Callithrix jacchus: one gene and its partner. The protein of the gene in region 1 purifies or fractionates together with the protein of each later gene. This does not show direct contact. Links are inferred from orthologs where the notes say so. Each region holds a gene or a part of one and is shown on either strand. Other genes may lie near its edges.

The links. Proteins that work in one complex are often made in the same cells at the same time.
Region 2: the proteins of ANAPC2 (region 1) and anaphase-promoting complex subunit 11 purify together in Homo sapiens (affinity purification with western blotting; 7 studies listed by BioGRID and IntAct, with this or other methods). This does not show direct contact. The link is inferred for Callithrix jacchus from reciprocal best matches to the Homo sapiens genes ANAPC2 and ANAPC11.

Annotation. Positions count from the first base shown.
Region 1 is NC_133502.1:185,590,047-185,593,690, forward strand, and holds part of ANAPC2 (anaphase-promoting complex subunit 2), read right to left. Parts: intron 3,481-3,644; coding exon 3,339-3,480; intron 3,097-3,338; coding exon 3,021-3,096; intron 2,957-3,020; coding exon 2,753-2,956; intron 83-2,752; exon of another isoform or gene 1-82. UniProt on the Homo sapiens protein: Together with the RING-H2 protein ANAPC11, constitutes the catalytic component of the anaphase promoting complex/cyclosome (APC/C), a cell cycle-regulated E3 ubiquitin ligase that controls progression through mitosis and the G1 phase of the cell cycle.
Region 2 is NC_133506.1:137,490,259-137,493,999, reverse strand, and holds the start of anaphase-promoting complex subunit 11, read right to left. Parts: upstream 2,880-3,741; 5' UTR 2,749-2,879; exon of another isoform or gene 2,739-2,748; intron 1,804-2,738; 5' UTR 1,793-1,803; coding exon 1,684-1,792; intron 1-1,683. Other genes in the region: ALYREF (THO complex subunit 4), read left to right, coding at 3,022-3,279. UniProt on the Homo sapiens protein: Together with the cullin protein ANAPC2, constitutes the catalytic component of the anaphase promoting complex/cyclosome (APC/C), a cell cycle-regulated E3 ubiquitin ligase that controls progression through mitosis and the G1 phase of the cell cycle.

The DNA of each region.
Region 1 (3,644 bases):
AGACACATGAACTGCTAACTCCCTGAACCCCGGATGTGATCTTATTTGAAAATATGGTCATTAAAGATATAATTAAGATGAAGTCACCCTGGAGTAGAGTGAGTGTCCAAGAGGGGGATACAAACAGAACAGGGGAACACTCCGGGCGACGCAGCAGAGACTGGACCGAGCCATCCACAAGCCCCGGAGCTCCTGCAGCCCCCAGAGAGCTGGTAGAGGCAAGGAAGCAGCCTTCCCCTAGGGCCTCCAGAGGGCCCTGCTCACCCTGACCTCTATAAGATGATACATTTCTGGTCTTTTAAGCCCCTTGGTTTGTGGCACTTTGTTCTGGTGGCACCAGGGCACTGACACGCCTGCTCTGTGGGCCACAGGCTCCTAAGCCCTTCCAGGATCTGGCAACTCTTTTTTTTTTTTTGAGACGGAGTTTCGCTCTTGTTACCCAGGCTGGAGTGCAATGGTGCGATCTTGGCTCACTGCAACCTCCGCCTCCTGGGTTCAGGCAATTCTCCTGCCTCAGCCTCTCAAGTAGCTGGGATTACAGGCACGCGCCACCATGCCCAGCTAATTTTTTGTATTTTTAGTAGAGACGGGGTTTCACCATGTTGACCAGGATTGTCTCGATCTCTTGACCTCGTGATCCACCCGCCTTGGCCTCCCAAAGTGCTGGGATTACAGGCGTGAGCCACCCCGCCAGGCCAATCTGGCAGCTCTTAAAGGAAACGAACCCCACTTTACGGACAGAAGATAGAGGTGGAGTCAGTGGTTGGCCTTGGTCCTGGCTCTGGCTCCAGGGCCGTGACCTCCACGAACACCACTCATCAGCCTGCACCAGAATGGAAGAAGGGCTCAGGAGCAACAAGCTCAGGTGCAGATGCTGAGGGCTGCATGCCAGCCATGTGCCCAGTGAGCTCAGGTGCAGATGCTGAGGGCTACATGCCAGCACATGCCCAGCAAAGTGCCTAAGGTACAGATGCAAAGGGCTGCATGCCAGCCATGTGCCCAGCGAGGCCCCTAGGCCAGGAGCTCTGCTAGTGGGACCTCTCAGCACAGCCCGGCACCTTCCTGAGCCATCCTGTATCCCGTGAAGTGAAGACAAAGGGCACTGGAGTATGGCTGCCCCAGGACGTCAGGCCCGAGGAATGGGAAGTGGCTGAGCCACACTTGGGATCCCAGGGGGACCCTGGAGGGAGGCCAGGGGAGCCTCGCCCAGAAACAGCACTGGAGAGCCTGAGGCAGCCAGAGGGTCAGTGGGAGAGGGACTGTGCATGGAGCCCGGCCACACCAATGACTTGTACCAGAACATGGCAGGGCGGGGGGCAGGGGGCGGGGGAGGCTCGGTGCCCGCAGACTCTGGAGACACAGGCTGGAGCTGGAGGTGGGGGGATGGCCAGGGCCCTCCTTTCCACCGGGGCAGGCAAGCTGCGGGGGATACCTGGACTCTTCCAGAGCCAAGCTGAGGCCTGGAGGGAGGCAGCAGGCACTCGCCACCAAGATCAGCAGCCTGGCCCAACCTCCGCCTCCTGCCCCGGGTGCCTCTACCTGGCCCTCCCCTTGTCTGTCTCTGCAACTTCCCCCTTAGTTTCTAAAGTGGACTCATCACCTTGCCCTCCCCTAGGAATAAGCTTCCTTAGTCTGTCAACACAGCAAGGCCCTCTCACTTGGCAGATAAAAAAAGGAAACACATCTAGACCCAGCGTCTGTCACAGCAGGCCTGGAGAAGCTGGGGACCCTCCTTTGAACTCAGCCCCACCTGCCGGCCTTGGCCCAGGCTGCGGCTGGCCCATCTCCCTCCTGGGGTTGGGGTCTGCAGCCTGGAAACCAGCTTTGCCCCAGGACCCTCTCCTCACGTGTCCCCTGCTGGGGTGCTCAGCTCCCCCCAGGCCTGAGCATTCGCTGGGCACACCGGAGGCCTCACGGGCCCCACACACCAGACTGAAAGCCCTGGGACCTGGCTGCACAGGGGTCCTAACCTCTTCCCTCGACCCAAAACATCTCACCTGAACATGAGCTCAGGGAAAAAACCTCCAAGCGTGGTCCCATACCCAGGGCCCTGGATACCTGTTCTGGGACTGCTGGGATTGGTGGTGCTGCCAGGAGACGTGAGCCAAATACGGCCGATACCACCACTCTGGGCACGCTGGCCCCACTTGCCAGCACCTCCAGGCCAGGGCTCGCTCCTCCAGTCCCCACGTCTGCTTCCCCCCGACTCCCACCACAGTCCCACAGCCCTGGTCCTCAAGCACCATGGGAACCTGCAAATGCAGTTCTCCGGGAAATATCTAGAAACAGGGGCAGGGCTGGGGCCCCAGGGTCAGGTGCGCTTGGGAGCGCTGCCCTGGGCAGAGGGTGGCCCTGGCTCCCTGGCCCTCACCTGCAGTGACACAAGGCACCCCAAGTCCTGGTTCTGAGAGGCAGAGGGCAGATGGCAGAAGAGGAGGAAATGCTCAGTGGGTGCGGCCTGCTGGAGCCACGGGAGTCCCCGTGAAGCAGCACAGGAGATGTGGGCCTAGCACAGCCCACCCGAGCACCTGTGGGGCCGAGGGACGCTGGCTCACAGGGGGCACAGGCTCACTGTGAGGAAGGCAGAGGGAGTGTGGACTGGGCCCACTCCATCTCCTGCAGGGATGGCTGTGAGACATAACCAACCCTAGACACTCGGGAGACAATGGGGTGGCCATAGGCACCAGGCTGCTGAGCCCGCAGCACAGGGTGAGGTGCAGAGAGCCCTGTGGGGTGGCTGGCTTGGAGGTACCTTGAGCTGCTCGTACTTCTTGCAGTAAGCCTCCAGGGCTGCCCTGATGTCCTCAGGGACCTCCAGCTTCTCATCCTTGAAGGGCGGCCAGAACTCACTGGACAGGATGACAGCATAGACCCCGAATGGCGGCTGCTCCTCCACCGGCCGCTTCTCGTCCTCCTCCCGGATGTTGGCATTGATGCGGCGGGAGTCCGCCATATCCTGAGGGAGGAGCTGGTGTCACGGGGGCCTGGGGGTGGCGGGCGGTGGGCGAGGCGGGACCCACCTTCAGCATGACCTCGCAGAAGTGCATCGGGGCCTCGCCAAAGCGCAGCTTCAGCAGTTCTACGTTGCGGATCTCCCTGGAGAGACGAACCAGTGTCTGGGCGGGGGTCGCAGGGGCTGCAGTCCCAAGCAGCACCTGTAGCAGTCATGGGTGCACCTCCCGGGCAGAGCAGGGGGCCTGCGTGGCACCCCGGCGGCCAGCTCAGCCCCAGCCAGGAGTGGGGGTGGCACACAGTCCAACCAGGCCCAGGCCCTGTCCTGACAGGCTCAGCAAGGGCCCCAGCACCCCTGGAGACGGCTGGCGCCTCCCTGGCCTCACCGCTCCGGGCTGAAGCTGAGCTGGTGCAGTAGGCGGTCGGCCAGCAGCGAGCGGTACTCATTGATGAACAGGTCCTTGCTGCCGTAGATGCTGACCAGCAGGCTGATAATGTCTGAGGAGCGCCGCTTGGAGCTGGACTTCCCTGGCACAGCGGGGGCAGGGGTGTCACCTGATAGGCACCTTGGCAAGGATAGGGCACCCCCCTCCCATCCCACCATGCCCGAGGCATAGCCCAGCATGGCTTTTCCTGAAGGCCCTCGAGGCTGGGAGCAGCCCGGCACCTCCCAGGAGACCAGGAGTCGCATC
Region 2 (3,741 bases), on another chromosome or scaffold:
CTTTGGGAGGCTGACGCAGGCATATTGTGAGGTCAGGAGTTCGAGACTAACCTGACCAACATAGTGAAACCCCATCTCTACTAAAAACACAAAAATTAGCCAGGTATGGTTAGCACATGCCTGTAATTCCAGCTACTCAGAAGGCTGAGGAAGGAGAATTGCTTGAACCCAGGAGGCAGAGGTTGCAGTGAACCAAGATCACCCCACTGTACTCCAGCTGGGCGACAGAGCGAGACGTTGTCTCAAAAAAAAATAAAATAAAAGCCGAGTCCTGGCTCAAACCACTCAACCATAAAAAAGACATTTGGGGACAGCTGGTGAAACAAGAAGCAGGAATGACTGTGAAACTGCCAGATGTACAACAGTGGTGGGTAAAAAGACACATGGCTGAAGTGTGTGGGAAGATGCATCAGATATAAAATTTTAAATCATTAGTCATGGCCGGGCGCAGTGGCTCACACCTGTAATCCCAGCACTTTGGGTGGCCGAGGTGGGTAGAACACGAGGTCAAGAGGTCGAGACCATCCTGGTCAACATGGTAAAACCCCATCTCTACTAAAAATACAAAAAATTAGCTGGGCACGGTGGTGCGTGCCTGTAAATTCCAGCTACTCAGGAGGCTGAGGTAGGAGAATTGCCTGAACCCAGGAGGCGGAGGTTGCGGTGAGCCGAGATCGTGCCATTGCACTGCAGCCTGGGTAACAAGAGCAAAACTCCATCTCAAAAAAAAAAAAAAAAAAATCACTAGGCACAAAAAATAAAGCTAATATGGAAACATGATTTGCCGTTTTTCAATGTGCTGGAAAGGGAATGCCCTTATTCCATTCAACTTTTTTTTTTTTGAGATTGAGTCTTGCTCTGTTGCCCAGGCTGGAGTGCAGTGGTGCAATCTTGGCACACAGCAACCTCCGCCTCCCAGGTTCAAGTGATTCTTCTGCCTCAGCCTGGAGTAGCTTGGATTACAGGCCACCCACCAACATGCCCGGCTAATATTTATGTATTTTCAATAGAGACAAGTTTTTGCTATGGTGACCAGGCTGGTATCAAACTCCTGGCCTGAAGCAATCCACCCACTGGCCTCCTAAAGCACTGGGATTACAGGTGTGAGCCATAAGGCCCAGCCTATGCCATTCAATTTTGAGACCTTTCAAGTAAAAAGTTTAATCTCTTTTTAATGCCATGTATTTCACAGCTGAGTTTCATCTTATCAAATGCAGTGAAAGGATCTTTATACTGACCTGGGTTCCAACCACCTGGCTTTTTTTCTATCAACTTTTCTTCAAGAAATGAAAATGAAAATGTGGGGCCGGGCGCATTGGCTCACGCCTGTAATCCCAGCACTTTGGCAGGCCAAAGCGGGCAGATCACCTGAAGCTGGAAGTTTGAGACCAGCCTGACCAACATGGAGAAACACCATCTCTACTAAAAATACAAAATTAGAAGGGTTTGGTGGTGCATGCTGGTAATCCCAGCTACTTGGGAGGCTGAGGCAGGAGAATCCCTTGAACCTGGGCGGTAGAGGCTACAGCAAGCCAAGATTGCACCATTGTACTTCAGCCTGGGAAACAAGAGCAAAACTCCATCTCAAAAAAAAAAAAGGAAAATGTGGGGATTTCCTGCAAGTATATTTAACAGGAGCCACTGAGGCTAGTCCAGCAGGCAGACAGCGGAAGGGACACTCACAGTCGGGGCAGCAGCCATTAAACGCCATCCTGCAGATGCCACAGTTCTCATCGTTGGCCACCCAGAGCCAAGTGGCCACGCCATTCCAGCACTTAATCTTCACCTTCATGGCAGCAGAGCCTGTACCCGAAGGGAAGAGGATGACAGGCTTAATTTAGTCTGCAGAACTAGAAGATTTAGGCACCAAAATAGGAATAAGCCTGGCACAGTGTAGTCTCAGCTACTCAAGGGGCCAAGGCAGGAGATCACTCCAGCCCAGGAATTCGAACCCAGCCTAGGAACATCGTAAGCCGTTTCTATTTTACTTTTCTTTTGTTTTTGAGACGGAGTCTTGCTCTGTCGTGTAGGCTAGAGTACAAGGGCGCACTCTTGGCTCACTGCAATCTCCGCCTCCCGGGTTCAAGCCGGCCTCCCAAAGTGCTGGGATTACAGACATGAGTCATCGCGCCCGGCCCGACTAATTTTTTTTTTTTAAGAGACAGTGTCTCACTATGTTGCCCGGCTGGCCTCACTGAGCTCAAGCAATCCTTCCACCTCGGCCTCCCAAGCAGCTGGGATTACAAGTGTGCAATGGCACACCCGACTTTCGACTTTTTTTTTTTAGATATGGGGGTCTCACTACGTTGCCCCAGCTGGTCTCAAACTCCTAGGGTGAAGCGATCCTCTTGCCTCGGCCTCCCAAAAAGTTTGGAGCACAGGCGTGAGCCCCGCGCCGGGCCCGTACCAAAACTTGTAAAGGATATGACTAGCAAATGTGAGATTGGAGACTTCGAGGTTGCAGGTGGAGACCAAAAACCCCGGCTCAAAAACCAAAAAGCAACCCGCAGCAGGTCTGCACCGGCTGCAGCCCGCTGAGGCCACTCCCGCAGGATCCCGCCCCGAGCCAAGCGCACAGCCCTCGGGCGGGCGCAGAAACAAGGACCCCCGCAGGTTCCCGGACACCCGCCGCGCCCGCAGCGCCCCCAGCCCTAGCAGAAGGGCGGGGCAGGCGGGGAGGGAGGGGAGCGCATGCCCCACTCCCAACGACCGCCGCCCAACCCCCTGCGGCCTCGCACCTTCGCCAACCTAATCACGCACGGCTCTGCCCGCCCTTCCGTTGGCAGCGCTGACGTCCGCGCGGGAAGGTATAAAAACGACCACAGTCACGGCCCGGCTCCCTCAGCAGCGCCCGCCGAGTCCCGCGCGGCAGTGCGCACGCGCTTCCCCGTCTCTCCCCGTCCCGCGCGCGCTGCGGTCCGCAGGCGGCCAATCACTAGCCGCTCCGAGGCCGTAGCACCGGAAGGCCTCACGCGGCGCCGGAGGTGACGTGCTGGCGTGCTGACGCGCGGGCTCGAGCCGATGCCCGATTCCGCGCCCGCCATGGCCGACAAAATGGACATGTCTCTGGACGACATCATTAAACTGAACCGGAGCCAGCGAGGAGGCCGCGGCGGGGGCCGGGGCCGCGGCCGGGTCGGCTCCCAAGGCGGCCGCGGCGGCGGGGCGCAGGCCGCCGCGCGAGTGAATCGAGGCGGCGGGCCTATCCGGACCCGGCCGGCCATCGCCCGCGGCGCGGCCGGCGGAGGCGGGAGGAACCGACCGGCGCCCTACAGCAGGGTGAGTGTGGAGGCCGGCCGCACCGGAGAGGGCAAGCCGGGGAGGCTGGCGGCGAAGGCCGAGCCCGGCTGGCTGATAGGGCTGGTGGAGCGGCCGCCCGGAGGTCCGGAGGGTGCGTGTGGGAGGGCGCATAGGGGGTGGTGGGCGGGGGCGAGGTCGTTCATTCCGGGCCCGGCCCGGAGGCTGAGACCCTTTTCAACCCTTTGTTCCGGCCGCCGGGACCTCGTGGCGGCGTGAGCGGAGGGGTAGCTGAGCGCGGCAACAGCGGCGGGAAGTTAGTGGAAGGGAACTGAAGTTGTGCTGCCGCGGTGGGACCGTGCGGCCTCGTACCTGGGGCTGCTTTAGCGGCCGGAGGGAGCGCTGGCGGCCTCATCTCCGCCGGATCCTCTCAGGCCGGGAAGAGGAAGGGTCCGGGGTCGCCGCGAGGACTGGGAAAGCCCTGGACTGAGACTCACAGGTCTG